2 linked regions of the Stegostoma tigrinum genome follow. The protein of the gene in region 2 purifies or fractionates together with the protein of the main gene of each other region. This does not show direct contact. Links are inferred from orthologs where the notes say so. Each region holds a gene or a part of one and is shown on either strand. Other genes may lie near its edges. The genes, in order: polyadenylate-binding protein 4-like and larp1.

Region 1 (8,431 bases), on a different chromosome or scaffold from region 2:
AAGAAAAGTCACTAGCATAGGGCAGAAAAGAAATAGTGACACTAGAAAGTTGTATTCTGAGCACATTAGAATACTGCTTCATATTTCATTATGGATAACGTGTAAATGCTCAAGTTGCTCCTTACCATATGTGTAGGTTGCTGATAGTTGAACATTTATTTCTGATTTAGATTAAGGAGGATTCCGATTGGCTGAGAACTGTGGTTATGCCCACGATAGTTGCACAGTTTCGCTCAGCATCAGAACCTTTCATTGTTTTGTGTTAGAGCTGGTGCTGTGATGTCAGGAGGATCACAGAACAACAACTGAAAAAGATTTTTTAAAAATTTTAACAGACATTAAAACAAAGTGAAACTAATAATCTAAGTGCAACAATTAAATCAAAAGGTATAATTATCCATATTTCAGCACACTAGTTATTGTTTTAAGCACTATAACTTGTGCTAAGATATATTACTTGTGTGCTGAAACTTATTCGGCTGAACAAGAAATTAGACAATGTCTGCTACTATCCTATTGTAAAATGAATTTAAGTTACTAGAAGACACCAAATAGCTTTTCCTCATCGTAAAATTTCCAAGGTGATAGATGCCAATTTTTTCCAAAATTCAATCACAGCAGGGACAAAGTAACATACGAAATGGCTAACACTGCACTTTCTAAAGCCAAGATGAATACCATCTGCTGATAATCCCCAGCATTGTTGCAAATACACAAAACTTGACCCAACAATCAGAGGAAGGGAAAGGGTAGATGTTCTCTGTGCAGAAACTATGTAATGCCAGATGAGATTGAATGAACTAGTCCAACATAGCAGACAAAAAACAATTTTAAGTACAAAAGTGAGTAAAAGGCTAGAAAACTATCTTATTACAATTAAAGTACATACAATCAGACACTCTCTCATCACTTAGTGGATAAATGGATAACCTGATATAGTGGTGAACCAGACATTCGAGAAAATCCAGGGTTCAAAGGCTGTAATTTGCTAAGTTTTCTGATCTCAAACCCAAGTCACAATCTACTTCAGCTCATTATGCTTGAAGATAAAGGAGAACTGCTCAGCAACAATGCAAAGCATTCAGTCACTGACAAGGATCATATTGCTGCATATTAGCACTTCAGACACATCTTCACTATACTTCAACGACATTTTAATATTGAAGGCATCCTTCAAAGTGACTACCCGTTAAGTCCCTTGGCTGAACTGCTACTTTGCAACATCCAGTGACACCAAAAGCATGGGTTCAATTCCTGTATCGACTGAGGTTACCATGAAGGAACTGCGTTCTCAATCCTGCCCCTCACCCAACACATGGTGGCCCTCAGATTAAACTCACCAGCAGTTATTTTTGTATTCTAAGAAGAAAGCGACCCATAGTCCTCTGGGAATATGGGTGCCTTTCACTTCAATCTTGAATTTTAATATGTACAAAACTCTAATCCAATTTTAGAGTACTATACCAATGACAGTAGAAAACTGCTAGGTCCTCCTTCCATCCTGTACAATATAATGGTTCCTTCAGAGGTCTTAACCAAAAGGACATTATATAAATGCAAAGTTTAGACTGCATTTGCTCGCTAACTCTGAGTCACAGCCATGAACTCTCCACAAGGGGTTCATCTGAAGAAATCTGGTATTGGACACTAATTGCTTTTTATTTCCCCTCAACCCAGAAACACTGAAGCTAATTATAGGTGCATTTTCCAAAATCTCTGCTAAAAATAGCTAATGAACAGTTTTTGTAGGTTGTTTGGCCTAGTAATAAATCAAGTCCTTCATCAGCTCATTGAGCCATGATAGGTGCTCTACAACTTTTCTTCCTCAAGGACATCAGGCCCATAACTGTTTTTTGTGCCTGAAATGCTTTTCACCTCCTGGATATTTACCTTGTCATGGCCCTGCCTGTAATTTCTTTAGAACATCTTAAAAAGAACTGTGCCAGCTGCCAATTCATTGCCAACCGTGACATTGACAAATGTTACAAGTCATTATCGATTTTCATACCTGTGACATTGTGTTTACAAACGGAGATCCCCAAGGTCATGAGATTTCAATCCCTTCAGAATTCGTAACCTTTTTTAATTTTACTAGCCCATCATTTCAGCTACCTGCAATGAAATCGACGAGGTTTTAAACTAACTGGCGGTGTATTTTAAAGATCGGGGCAGGGAGATCTCCCAGATGAGAAAAGTTTGGCGCTATTCAAACCATCGGACAGACGAGAAACATTTCCTTTCGCTTGCCAGCAGCCAGTGGTATTTATATCTCTGGGCAGTGATGAGTTTGGACGTTGGCCTCCAGCAGCCACACAGCCCCCAGTGACGAGGGGCTGGATGGAGAAGCCTGGGGAGAAGGGCGGATGTGGTTCGGTCGAAGATTTTTTTTAAAAAAAACAAAAATAAAGCGTCTGGCTCACCGTCTGCGGGCTGCTGGAAGTTGACATAGGCGTATCCGAGCGACCTCCTGGTGATCATGTCTCTACAAACCCTGATGGAGAGCACAGGCCCGGCCGGACTAAATTTCTCATACAGCATCGCCTCGGTCACATCTGGGTGCAGGTCGCCGACATAAAGCGAGGCCATCGGGTAACTGGCACCGGTCTGATTCATCCTCAGACAGTCCGACACAAATTAAACGATCAACTTTCCCCCCCCCCCCCCCCCTAACGAAACGGGAGACAGCGAGCGCGAGGAATTGAAAGAAAAAGGGGAGTGGGCGAGGAACCGTCGGGCAAAGAACTTTCCAGAAATGCTCGAACCGGTTAAATCTGATTCTCTTCCTTATCTCCTGAAGCCTGTGGCCTATTGAGTTAACAGATCCCCGGCTCTTATAATTCTTTTCTTTTGTTTTGTTTTTAAAAACCGCTTCAGATACTTCAGCTTCCAGAAACTTCGGAAGGTTTGTCCGCACCCGATTCCAGGCGATAAATCCCAGAGCGTGGCTGAGACCTGGTTGGCTTTATTTTTCCTTTTTTTTAAAATTATTAAAAGTAACTGGATTTTCGCCCTCTTCACAACTTAGTTCCACCGATTTTTATTTTTGTTTTTTTCTGTTTATAAGATTTTTTTGATTTTTTTAAAGATTTTTTTTCACGTATGAGTGTGCGCTACCTCAGGAGCTTTTCCACACTCACACATGTGGCTAGGAGACGGAGAGAGAGTAATGGAGGAGGAGGCTTTTTATATCAACCAGCAAACGGTCCCGTCATTTCCTGCGCCATCAGAATGAAAGGCAAAATGAACAAGAGAGGAGGAAAGAAAAAAACCCAACAACTCAGCTTAGTCAGCTACAGCCGCTGCCCTCTGCAGGCTCAACAGCTCAGAGTTTCTGTCCCTTCAAGTTCAGCAGGTTTGCAAAAGACTTCCAACGCAAAGCATGTGCCATAGTCTATCCGAGATAATGGGAACTGCAGATGCTGAAGAATCCTAGATAATAAAGTGTGAAGCTGGATGAACACAGCAGGCCAAGCAGCATCTCAGGAGCACAAAAGCTGACGTTTCGGGCCTAGACCCTTCATCAGAGAGGGGGATGGGGTGAGGGTTCTGGAATAAATAGGGAGAGAGGGGGAGGCGGACCGAAGATGGAGAGAAAAGAAGATAGGTGGAGAGAGTATAGGTGGGTAGGTGGGGAGGGGATAGGTCAGCCCAGGGAAGACGGACAGGTCAAGGAGGTGGGATGAGGTAGATGGGGGTGCGGCTTGGGCTGGGAGGAAGGGATGGGTGAGAGGAAGAACAGGTTAGGGAGGCAGAGACAGGCTGGACTGGTTTTGGGATGCAGTGGGTGGAGGGGAAGAGCTGGGCTGGTTGTGTGGTGCAGTGGGGAGAGGGGACGAACTGGGCTGGTTTTGGGATGCGGTGGGGGAAGGGGAGATTTTGAAGCTGGTGAAGTCAACGTTGATACCATTAGGCTGCAGGGTTCCCAGGCGCAATATGAGTTGCTGTTCCTACAACCTTCGGGTGGCATCATTGTGGCACTGCGGAGATTTTGAAGCTGGTGAAGTCAACGTTGATACCATTAGGCTGCAGGGTTCCCAGGCGCAATATGAGTTGCTGTTCCTACAACCTTCGGGTGGCATCATTGTGTAGCATTTTCTGCGGTTGCAGGGGAAGGTGCCGGATGTGGTGGGGTTGGAGGGCAGTGTGGAGCGAACAAGGGAGTCACAGAGAGAGTGGTCTCTCCGGAAAGCAGACAGGGGTGGGGATGGAAAAATGTCTTGGGTGGTGGGGTCGGATTGTAGATGGCGGAAGTGTCGGAGGATGATGCGTTGTATCCAGAGGTTGGTGGGGTGGTGTGTGAGAACGAGGGGGATCCTCTTTGGGCAGTTGTGGCGGGGGCAGGGTGTGAGGGATGTGTTGCGGGAAATGCGGGAGACGCGGTCAAGGGCATTCTCGATCACTGTGGGGGGAAAGTTGCGGTCCTTGAAGAACTTGGACATCTGGGATGTGCTGGAGTGGAATGTCTTATCGTGGGAGCAGATGCGGCGGAGGCGGAAGAATTGGGAATAGGGGATGGAATTTTTGCAGGAGGGTGGGTGGGAGGAGGTGTATTCTAGGTAGCTGTGGAAGTCGGTGGGCTTGAAATGGACATCAGTTACAAGCTGGTTGCCTGAGATGGAGACTGAGAGGTCCAGGAAGGTGAGGGATGTGCTGGAGATGGCCCAGGTGAACTGAAGGTTGGGGTGGAAGGTGTTGGTGAAGTGGATGAACTGTTCGAGCTTCTCTGGGGAGCAAGAGGTGGCGCCGATACAGTCATCAATGTACCGGAGGAAGAGGTGGGGTTTGGGGCCTGTGTAGGTGCGGAAGAGGGACTGTTCCACGTAACCTACAAAGAGGCAGGCATAGCTGGGGCCCATGCGGGTGCCCATGGCCACCCGCTTAGTCTGTAGGAAGTGGGACTTCACCAGTTTCAAAATCTCCCCTTCCCTCACCGCATCCCTAAACCAGCCCAGTTCGTCCCCTCCCCCCACTGCGCCACACAACCAGCCCAGCTCTTCCCCTCCACCCACTGCATCCCAAAACCAGTCCAACCTGTCTCTGCCTCCCTAACCTGTTCTTCCTCTCACCCATCCCTTCCTCCCACCCCAAGCCGCACCCCCATCTACCTACTAACCTCATCCCACCTCCTTGACCTGTCTGTCTTCCCTGGACTGACCTATCCCCTCCCCACCTCTGCACCTATACTCTCCTCTCCACCTATCTTCTTTTCTCTCCATCTTCGGTCCGCCTCCCCCTCTCTCCCTATTTATTCCAGAACCCTCATCCCATCCCCCTCTCTGATGAAGGGCCTAGGCCCGAAACGTCAGCTTTTGTGCTCCTGAGATGCTGCTTGGCCTGCTGTGTTCATCCAGCCTCACATTTTATTGCCATAGTCTATCCCTTCAGGTTACTCTCTGAAGAGTCTGGCCCACAAGGGTATTCACGGACTACAAGATTGGGTCCCACCTCCGTCGTGCCCTGGCCCCCTCCGAAGCTGTGATTATGTCTGGGTCAAGAGGCAGAAGCTCCTGCATGGTCAAAGCAACTGGGGAAATCTTCAATAGATAACAAGGTGTAGAGCTGGATGAACACAGCAGGCCGAGCAGGAAGGCTGACATATCCGGCCTAGACCCCTCTGATGCTGCTTGGCCTGCTGTGCTCATCCAGCTCTACACCTTGTTATCTCCGATTCTCCAGCATCTGCAGTTCCTACTGTCTTGGGGGAAATCTTCATTTTGGTTGTAAGTTGGGGAGGGGTTATGATATTTCATTGCTCTGTTTCACAGCTGTCAGGCACAGCAATATTTTTTATGGAATCTTGCAAAACCTTACTAGGCAGAGGAACATTATAAAACAATTGTGTGACAACAAACCCATTAAGGAGTGTTGTAAAAATGGAAAGTGGGGAGAGGTGTCAGGAGGGATTTCCAAAGTTTGCGCCCCAGATACAGCGACCACTGGTGTAGTAATTAAAATTTAGGGTAATGCACAAGAGGCAAGAGTTAGTGGATTGCAGATATCCCAGGGGATTGTGGGGCTTGGGATGGGGGAGAAGTTCAGACAATAGAGGGATTTGAAAAATGAGAATTTCAAAAGGATAACATTGCTTGTTTGGAGGTCAGTGAGCACAAGGATGATAGGGCAATGGTACTTGTGTGTTAACATGCAGGCAACAATATTTTGAATGATCTAAATAGAGTATAGGTTATGGGAGACCAGCCAAAGGTGCATTGGAATGGTCAAATCTAGAGACAGAGAAGATAGACGAGCTGAGGCAGAGATAACAAAGTGTAGAGCTGATCTAGGCCCAGAATGTCAGCTTTTCTGCTCCTAAGATGCTGCTTGGCCTGCTGCGTTTATCCAACTCTACACTTTGTTATCTCGGATTCTCCAGCATCTGCAGTTCCTATTATCTCTGAGCTGAGACAGAACTGACTTCAGATGATGTTACAATGTGGAAGTAGACATTCTTAGCGATAGCATGAATGGGAAATCAGAGGTTCAGTTCAGGATCAATGCCAGTCTGACTTAATATTAGACTGTTATCAGCGAAAGGAATAGAGTTTGTAACTAGGGAATAGGGTATGGATTTGGGTTAAAGGCAATGACTTCAGACTTCACAATATTTAATTGGAGGAAATTTCTACTCAACCAGTACCGGATATCGGATAAGCAGTCTGCTCATTTATCAGCAGTGAAGAAGTCAAGCTGGTGAAGGTAGATTTGTGTGTTGTTATAGTGTACGTGTGAAAACTAATGCTGTGCTTTTGGATGGAGTTCTCGTTTGGTAGCATGTAGATGGGAAATAGGAAGGAACCAAGGATATATCTTTGACACCAGAGACATCAACACAATAACAGGAAAAGGAACCATGACAGTGATTCTCTGGCTACAATAGAATAAACAAGAGTAGAAACAGGTGACAGCAGTTACATCTATCTGAATGACAGTTTGAAAGGTGTAAGAGGTTATTGCTATGGTCAACCATGTCAAACTCTGCAGATGGATTAAGAAAAATGTAAAGAGAAAGTTTACTATGGTCACGGTCACATAGGCTGTAATTTGTGATTTTGATAAGAACTGTTTGGTACTGTGTCAGGTAGAAATTGATTGAAGGGATTCAAACCTAGAATACAAAAGAAAAAGAGATAAGGTGTAGAGCTGGATGAACACAACAGGCTGAGCAGCATCTTTGTTCCTAAGATGCTGCTTGGCTTGCTGTGTTCATCCAGCTCTACACCTTGTTATCTTGGATTCTCCAGCATCTGCAGTTCCTATTATCGCTGATACAAATGAAAATCTTGTGTTTCTTCAGTGATTTCGCAGTCCAAAGTGCTTTACTTTCAATAAAGTACTTTTGAGGTGTGACTGGTGATGTTTGTGCACAGCAAGTTCTCAGTCAAGTCCAAAATGCACTCAAGAAGACTGGTGTCCACATTTACTTAGAAGTGTATAGTCTGCAAGTCATTTAGGAATACTGAATTTTACAGTATTTTAGAGTTTTTAATCCTGAGCTTTTTCTGCCTTCCATAGTGTTTCTGCTGACACATTCTCTTTCAGGAACCGGTCATGCTTAAGTTTTAGCACAAGCTTCTTTCATAATGGTAAAGCCTACACTCATTGGGAATATTTCAAGCTGATATTCAAAAGAAGTCCTATGAAGCAATGCAATGCAGGTCAGGCACAATATCTGTACCTTCATGTCAGTATCCACACAATCAAAGAGAAATGAGATATCACTTAGCCATGTTCATAATTGTTCCTGTACCCAAAGGAACCTGTGCTAACCAATTCCTCATGGCATCATTTCCGTTTGTTATTGTCTGACTAACCGCTAGATGAATGATTCTTCAAAAGCACCCAATTAGAATTTGCCAAGTTTTATGTGGTACTGTATGAAAATGGCTTGATGGTGTGATCAAGAGTGATTGACAACACCTCCCAAAACGCCACCAGCCATTTCTGTTGTGCCTGTTTACTCTTGAGTTCTTGCCAAACATAATCTATCCATCATATCAAGTTCTGGGTCAGCAGAGCAACTGACACAAAACTGTGGCAACTGCTTCAAACATACTTGTGACCTGGCATGTGGGCAGATACTTTAATCATTGGCTATGGCCTGAAACTTGGCTGAACCTAGTTGCTGATCTTTGAAATTGTAGTGTTGAAAACACAGAGAGTCATTTTGCAATAGAACAGCATTGCTTTTCCTTTAAAAGCAAAACAGATGATAACGTATGTTTTGTCACTTGTCTACAAATGACTCCTTTCATCTCCCTTCTACTGACACTACAGAATTCCTGCCCCTTGAGCCTCAGTAGATGATAGTTTGAAATGCCATTTAAGACATTCCAAAGACTTACTGTGCTTTTCCCTCCCTATGTGACAGACCCCTTTAATTGCACACAACTATTTAAATTTTGTGTCCATATAAATTCATCCAATGTGTTCT
Region 2 (7,879 bases):
AGAATAGAAAGCACTCCACCCCAGGCAATATTCAATTTAACAGTCAAGACCAGCAATAGCAACAAATTAGTTGTCTTATTTCCTTTGCCTTTGTTACCTGTGCATTTGATTATTCCAACATATAGTCAATCCTCAACATTTAGCTCTCCATAAACTTGGAACCATTCAAAACTGTATCGTTAGTGATACTAAACTCAGTTCACCTTTCAGTCCTGTGTTCAATGGCTTATACTCGTTCCTGGTCAGAAACATCAGGAACCTTCCCTCCCTTATTTTCAATTCCATCATCTTTATCCAGGACTCAAGCATAAACATCTCGGTTGGTAACCTAATGCAATACGAAGAAATGTTGCAATGTCAGAGTTAATGTCTTTTGGATGAAGCATTATATCTGGGGCCCCTCCTATCCTCCCATGTAGATGTAAATGTTCCTATTGCATCATATTGAAGAGCATGGGAGTTACCCCAGTGCATGGACAATATTTACCCTCCAATCAAATGAAAAGTAGTTACTTGAGGGATCTTGCTGCGCACAATTTTGCTGCACAGTTTTACAATAATTATACTTCAAAAAGTGCTTTGTAAATTGTAAATTCTTTGGAGCATCCTATGGTGATGTAAGATGCTATATAAATGCAAACGTGTTTCTGTAACCCATTTACGTGCACTCCTCCAATTCTGGTCTAGAGTATCTCCAGGTTTTACAATGAACTACTGGCAACTGTGCATTCAGCTGCAGAAACTATATTTTCTGGAATTCCCTCCTTAAACCTCTCCATCCCTCTCTTGCTTCAAGACAGTGTGTAAAACATCTCTCTTCTGGTCTAATATGTCTAGTGGCTGGGCATCCAAAACTTTCTTGCTCTCGTGAAGTGCCTTGGAATGTTTCACCATGTAGAAGAACTCAAAAGTACTGTTTTTGATCACATAACCTGGCTGCCATATTTGCCAATATGACTGGAGTCGTACTTCCGAAGTAATTTTTGCTGCAAGTGCGCTTTGGGCAACCTGGAATCATGGTCAGGCACTATGTAAATAAAAGAAGATTTAGGTACATTTAAGTCCTCATTGGATAAGCATATGGACATACACGGAATAGTGTAGGTTAGATGGGCTTGAGATCGGTATGACAGGTCAGCACAACATCAAGGGCCGAAGGGCCTGTACTGTGCTGTAACGTTCTATGTTCTATTATTTCTCCATTGTAAACATGAACCTGTGTCACAGTGCTAGGGTCCCAGATGAGTAGTTTATGCAGGACATGGTTCTGTTCCAACGTGCAGTGTTATCATTCACAGAAGATTGGTAACTAGAAGCAGAGCAACATGCTTCATGTGAACAGGTTTTAAGATCAGGGACTGATTTAAAAAGTGCTTCAGAATCACCGACATTAATCAGAAAGAACAGGCTAATGTCCGGATGAAAACAGAGCTTCAGACATACATTCATTTGTGACAATGTCTCCACCCTAAACCATGACCGCTGTCTTTCAGATTCCAACTAAATTGGTGTGTATTCCAGAATTTTGCGTTAGTTTTTCAGTACGCCGACATTCAACTTCAACTTTATCTGCAATAAACACTCAAGATGACACCCATTTCAGAATTTTGGCAAAACCCTGAAAAATCTTTTTGAACAAAAATGGTGCATTGCTTGATGAACGTATCCCAGTATCCATTTAACTCTTCTCCTCACTGCACTGCTGCATGCAGAACCGATCCAAGTCTTGGGGAAGGATCATCCATGCCCAGAAGCCAGTATCAGTTTACATTTCAGTCCTTAAGTATTAGGAATATGCTTCGATGATTTCATTGCTCAATAAAGGAGAAGTACAATACCACAACTAGGTTAAGAAAAAAACCATGTCGCATATAATCCACACAGGTCATGTGAGCCATTCCCGAGTAACAGCTTCTCCACTTTTTTGTAGATTTATCATCCAATTAATTGGCAAAGAAAAAGACTATTTGCTCAATCGTGCACATGTTGCTAACAGTAAAAATGCATGCAGAAACAGAATACAGGTATGAAAAGAAAGCATCACATGCTCTCCACACCAACAGTCACGATCCTATCTCCTCACCATTTCCCAGCACCCTTCACTCCATCAACCACCAACCAATTCTTAAATGGCCTCTGGTCACATAAAACTCTGTTCCATCCCTTCGTAACTTTTAACATGTCAAGCTACCCCATAATATCCTGTTCTAATGACAAAAGGATCAAAGTTGAGCATGAATCACACCGTTACAGCATCTCAGAACGCAACAGGAAAAAAAGACAAAATCCTGGGCATAAACATTGTTTGTAACAGGAGTTTCAGCTCGGGTGGACAGGGATGCCTGGTCCACAGGTTTGGAGCAAGAATCCTGAACTGGCAGATCAAGCAGTGAGGTAGAGACGAATAAGAATTGATGTGTGAGTGCAGTCAGATGAGTGATCTGCAGACAGGGACTCCCAAATCTCAGGTGTGGTACGGTGGTGAGATCTAACAAGTAAGTAATGTCTGGGAGCACTGGTTGGGAGCTTCGGGGGCAGGGGAGGGATGTGAAGCAAAGGATTCGGGATCTAAAATCAGGGAAGGTTAGTATACCCACAACATAGGACCTGGGAAGCTGAATCTGACACTGGGTACTCCCCTACCACAGATCCTTGGACTGGGGATGGCGAAAAGAAATTTGGGATCTGGGAGTTTTAAAGATGGGGGTGGCAGGGGACTGAGCAACCCCCTTACTTATCGATCAAACCCCACCCCACCCCAACACCTGTCCCAGTCTTGGGCCCGGCCACAGATTCCTCACCCTCTTTCTCCTTCATGGGCCTGCACTAACCTGGCTCGGTCTCCACGCCGCTCCCGCTCACTCTCCTGGTCCAGGGATTGACTCTGGGCGGGGGCGCCTCGATGAACTCCTTCCTGCGGCCGCAGCCACCGGCCCTCTGCTCCTCAGCGCTGTCTCCAGCCTGTCCCGGGGGCTCGGAGCCGGGCCCTGGTCCAGGTCCGGAGGCCACTCCGGGCTCTGCAGGCGGAGCCGGGCTGGGAGCGCCGGACTCGCCGGCACAGGCCGTTTTACTCCACGGGTTCACCTTGGGCGGCGGGGCTGCCATGAGGCGCTTGGCCTCAGGCCTGGTGCCGGTGCCAGCCCCGGTCTGGGAGGACGCCTGCTCGGGCCCGGCGGCCTGGCGCAATGCCGGGGCCTGGGCGTGTACCGAGTTCTGGGCCGGCTCCGAACGCGGTTGCTCCGGGGCCTGGGCTCCGTGAGGCGACGGCAGACTCTGCACCTGCGTGGCCATGGCGGCGGCTGGGCTCGCACTCGGACTCCGTGTGGCAGCAGCGTACGCGCGCACGCACCGCGCCGAACCCACGCTGACGCGGGGCGCGCACGTACTCCGCCGTTCCCCAGCTGACCCGAGGGAGCGAGCAACGGTGGGTGGGACTTGAAAAACAGAGCCCGCCCACACCCACGCCCCGTTACCAACGCAGCAACATCCCAAACACACCCCCCTCCCCGACACAGAACACCGCAACATCCCAAACACACCCCTCTCCCCGACACAGAACCCAGCAACATCCCAAATACATCCCCCTCCCCGACACAGAACACCGCAACATCCCAAACACACCCCTCTCCCCGACACAGAACACCGCAACATCCCAAACACACCCCCCTCCCCGACACAGAACACCGCAACATCCCAAACACACCCCTTTCCCCCACACAGAACCCAGCAACATCCCAAACACACCCCTTTCCCCCACACAGAACCCAGCAACATCCCAAATACACCCCCCTCCCCGACACAGAACCCAGCAACATCCCAAATACACCCCCCTCCCCCACACAGAACCCCGCAACATCCCAAATACACCCCCCTCCCCGACACAGAACACCGCAACATCCCAAACACACCCCTTTCCCCCACACAAAACCCAGCAACATCCCAAATACACCCCCCTCCCCGACACAGAACCCAGCAACATCCCAAATACACCCCCCTCCCCGACACAGAACCCCGCAACATCCCAAATACACCCCCCTCCCCGACACAGAACCCCGCAACATCCCAAACACACCCCTTTCCCCCAAACAGAACCCCGCAACATCCCAAATACATCCCCCTCCCCGACACAGAACCCCGCAACATCCCAAACACACCCCTTTCCCCGACACAGAACCCCGCAACATCCCAAATACACCCCCCTCCCCGACACAGAACCCCGCAACATCCCAAATACACCCCCCTCCCCGACACAGAACCCAGCAACATCCCAAATACACCCCCCTCCCCGACACAGAACCCCGCAACATCCCAAATACACCCCCCTCCCCGACACAGAACCCCGCAACATCCCAAATACATCCCCCTCCCCGACACAGAACCCCGCAACATCCCAAATACATCCCCCTCCCCCACACAGAACACCGCAACATCCCAAATACACACCCCTCCCCGACACAGAACCCCGCAACATCCCAAATACATCCCCCTCCCTGACACAGAACACCGCAACATCCCAAATACATCCCCCTCCCCCACACAGAACACCGCAACATCCCAAATACACCCCCCTCCCCGACACAGAACCCCGCAACATCCCAAATACATCCCCCTCCCCGACACAGAACACCGCAACATCCCAAATACATCCCCCTCCCCGACACAGAACCCAGCAACATCCCAAATACATCCCCCTCCCCCACACAGAACACCGCAACATCCCAAATACACCCCCCTCCCCGACACAGAACCCCGCAACATCCCAAATACATCCCCCTCCCCGACACAGAACACCGCAACATCCCAAATACATCCCCCTCCCCGACACAGAACCCCGCAACATCCCAAATACATCCCCCTCCCCGACACAGAACCCCGCAACATCCCAAATACATCCCCCTCCCCGACACAGAACCCCGCAACATCCCAAATACACCCCCCTCCCCGAAGCAGAACCCCGCAACATCCCAAATACATCCCCCTCCCCGACACAGAACCCAGCAACATCCCAAATACAACGCCCTCCCCACACAGAACCCAGCAACATCCCAAACACACCCCCTCCCCCACACAGAACCCAGCAACATCCCAAATACACCCCCCTCCCCGACACAGAACCCAGCAACATCGCAAATACATCCCGCTCCCCCACACAGAACCCAGCAACATCCCAAATACACCCCCCTCCACAAAGCAGAACCCCGCAACATCCCAAATACATCACCCTCCCCGACACAGAACCCAGCAACATCCCAAATACAACCCCCTCCCCACACAGAACCCAGCAACATCCCAAACACACCCCCTCCCCCACACAGAACCCAGCAACATCCCAAATACACCCCCCTCCCCGACACAGAACCCAGCAACATCGCAAATACATCCCCCTCCCCCACACAGAACCCAGCAACATCCCAAATACACCCTCCTGCCCCACACATAACCCTGCATCATCCCCAATGCATTCGCCTCCTCCGTTCAGAACCCCGCAACATCCCAAACACATCCCCCTCCCATACACAGAACCCAGCAACATCCCAAACACATCCCCCTCCCCTACACAGAACACCGCAACATCCCAAACACATCCCCCTCCCTTACACAGAACCCCGCAACATCCCAAACACATCCCCCTCCCCCACACAGAACCCAGCAACATCCCAAACACACCCCCTCCCCCACACAGAACCCAGCAACATCCCAAATACACCCCCCTCCCCGACACAGAACCCAGCAACATCCCAAATACATCCCCCTCCCCCACACAGAACCCAGCAACATCCCAAATACACCCTCCTCCCCCACACATAACCCTGCATCATCCCCAACGCATTCGCCTCCTCCATTCAGAACCTCGCAACATCCCAAACACATCCCCCTCCCCTACACAGAACCCAGCAACATCCCAAACACATCCCCCTCCCCTACACAGAACCCCGCAACATCCCAAACACATCCCCCTCCCTTACAGAGAACCCCGCAACATCCCAAACACATCCCCCTCCCCCACACAGAACCTAGCAACATCCCAAACACACCCCCTCCCCAAAGCAGAACCCCGCAACATCCCAAATACACCCCGCTCCCCAACACAGAACCCCGCAACATCCCAAATACACCCCCCTCCCCACACAGAACCCCGCAACATTCCAAACACATCCCCCTCCCTTACACAGAACCCCGCAACATCCCAAACACATCCCCCTCCCCCACACAGAACCTAGCAACATCCCAAATACACCCCGCTCCCCAACACAGAACCCCGCAACATCCCAAATACACCCCTCTCCCCACACAGAACCCAGCAACATACCAAATACACCCCCCTCCCCACACATAACCCTGCATCATCCCAAACACATTCGCCTCCTCCATTCAGAACCCCGCAACATCCCAAACACATCCCCCTCCCTTACACAGAACCCCGCAACATCCCAAACACATCCCCCTCCCCCACACAGAACCCAGCAACATCCCAAGCACATCCCCCTCTCCAAAGCAGAACCCCGCACCATCCCAAATACAACCCCCTCCCCAACACAGAACTCAGCAACATCCCAAATACACCGCCCTCCCCGACACAGAACCCAGCAACATCCCAAATACACCCCCTTCCCCGACACAGAACACCGCAACATCCCAAACACATCCCCCTCCCCTACACAGAACCCCGCAACATCCCAAACCCACCCCCCACCCCCACACAGAACCCCGCAACATCCTAAACACACACCCCTCCCCCACACAGAACCCCGCAACATCCCAAATACACCCACCTCCACGACACAGAACCCAGCAACGTCCCAAATACACCCCCCTCCCCACACAGAACCCAGCAACATCCCAAATACACCCCCCTCCCCGACACAGAACCCAGCAACATCCCAAACACACCCCCCTCCCCAAAGCAGTACCCTGCAACATCCCAAATACACCCCCCTCCCCGACACAGAACCCAGCAACATCCCAAATACACCCCCCTCCCCACACAGAACCCAGCAACATCCCAAATACATCCCCCTCCCCACACAGAACCCCGCAACATTCCAAACACATCCCCCTCCCTTACACAGAACCCCGCAACATCCCAAACACATCCCCCTCCCCCACACAGAACCCAGCAACATCCCAAGCGCATCCCCCTCCCCAAAGCAGAACCCCACACCATCCCAAATACACCCCCCTCCCCAACACAGAACCCAGCAACATCCCAAATACGCCCCCCTCCCCGACACAGAACCCAGCAACATCCCAAACACATCTCCCTCCCCGACACAGAACCCAGCAACATCCCAAATACACCCCCTTCCCCGACACAGAACCCAGCAACATCCCAAACACATCCCCCTCCCCTACACAGAACCCCGCAACATCCCAAACCCACCCCCCACCCCCACACAGAACCCCGCAACATCCTAAATACACACCCCTCCCCCACACAGAACCCCGCAACATCCCAAATACATCACCTCCCCTGCACAGAACCCAGCAACATCCCAAATACACCCCCCACCCCCACACAGAACCCCGCAACATCCCAAACACATCCCCTGCCCCCACACAGAACCCCGCAACATCCCAAACACATCCCCCTCCCCCACACAGAACCCCTCTGCACACACCACATACACCCCTCCACAACATATAACCTCTCTACTCACACCCCCTCCTCAACACAGAGCCACTCCACACACACCCCCCTCCCCTACACAGTACCCCTCTACACACACCACACACACCCACCTCCCCCACACTGAACCCCCCTACACACACCCCCTCCCCCAATCAGTACCCCTCTACTCACACCAAACACATGGCCCTCCCTCTTACAAAATCCGCCACTCCCCATTCCCCTCACAGAACTCTCCACACCCCACACACA

Evidence for each region.
Region 1: the proteins of larp1 (region 2) and polyadenylate-binding protein 4-like purify together in Homo sapiens (affinity purification with mass spectrometry; 3 studies listed by BioGRID and IntAct, with this or other methods). This does not show direct contact. The link is inferred for Stegostoma tigrinum from reciprocal best matches to the Homo sapiens genes LARP1 and PABPC4.

Annotation. Positions count from the first base shown.
Region 1 is NC_081377.1:33,629,296-33,637,726, reverse strand, and holds the start of polyadenylate-binding protein 4-like, read right to left. Parts: upstream 3,173-8,431; 5' UTR 2,614-3,172; coding exon 2,421-2,613; intron 2,113-2,420; exon of another isoform or gene 2,009-2,112; intron 306-2,008; exon of another isoform or gene 126-305; intron 1-125.
Region 2 is NC_081366.1:13,969,018-13,976,896, forward strand, and holds the start of larp1 (la-related protein 1), read right to left. Parts: upstream 3,318-7,879; 5' UTR 3,292-3,317; coding exon 2,832-3,291; intron 1-2,831. UniProt on the Homo sapiens protein: RNA-binding protein that regulates the translation of specific target mRNA species downstream of the mTORC1 complex, in function of growth signals and nutrient availability.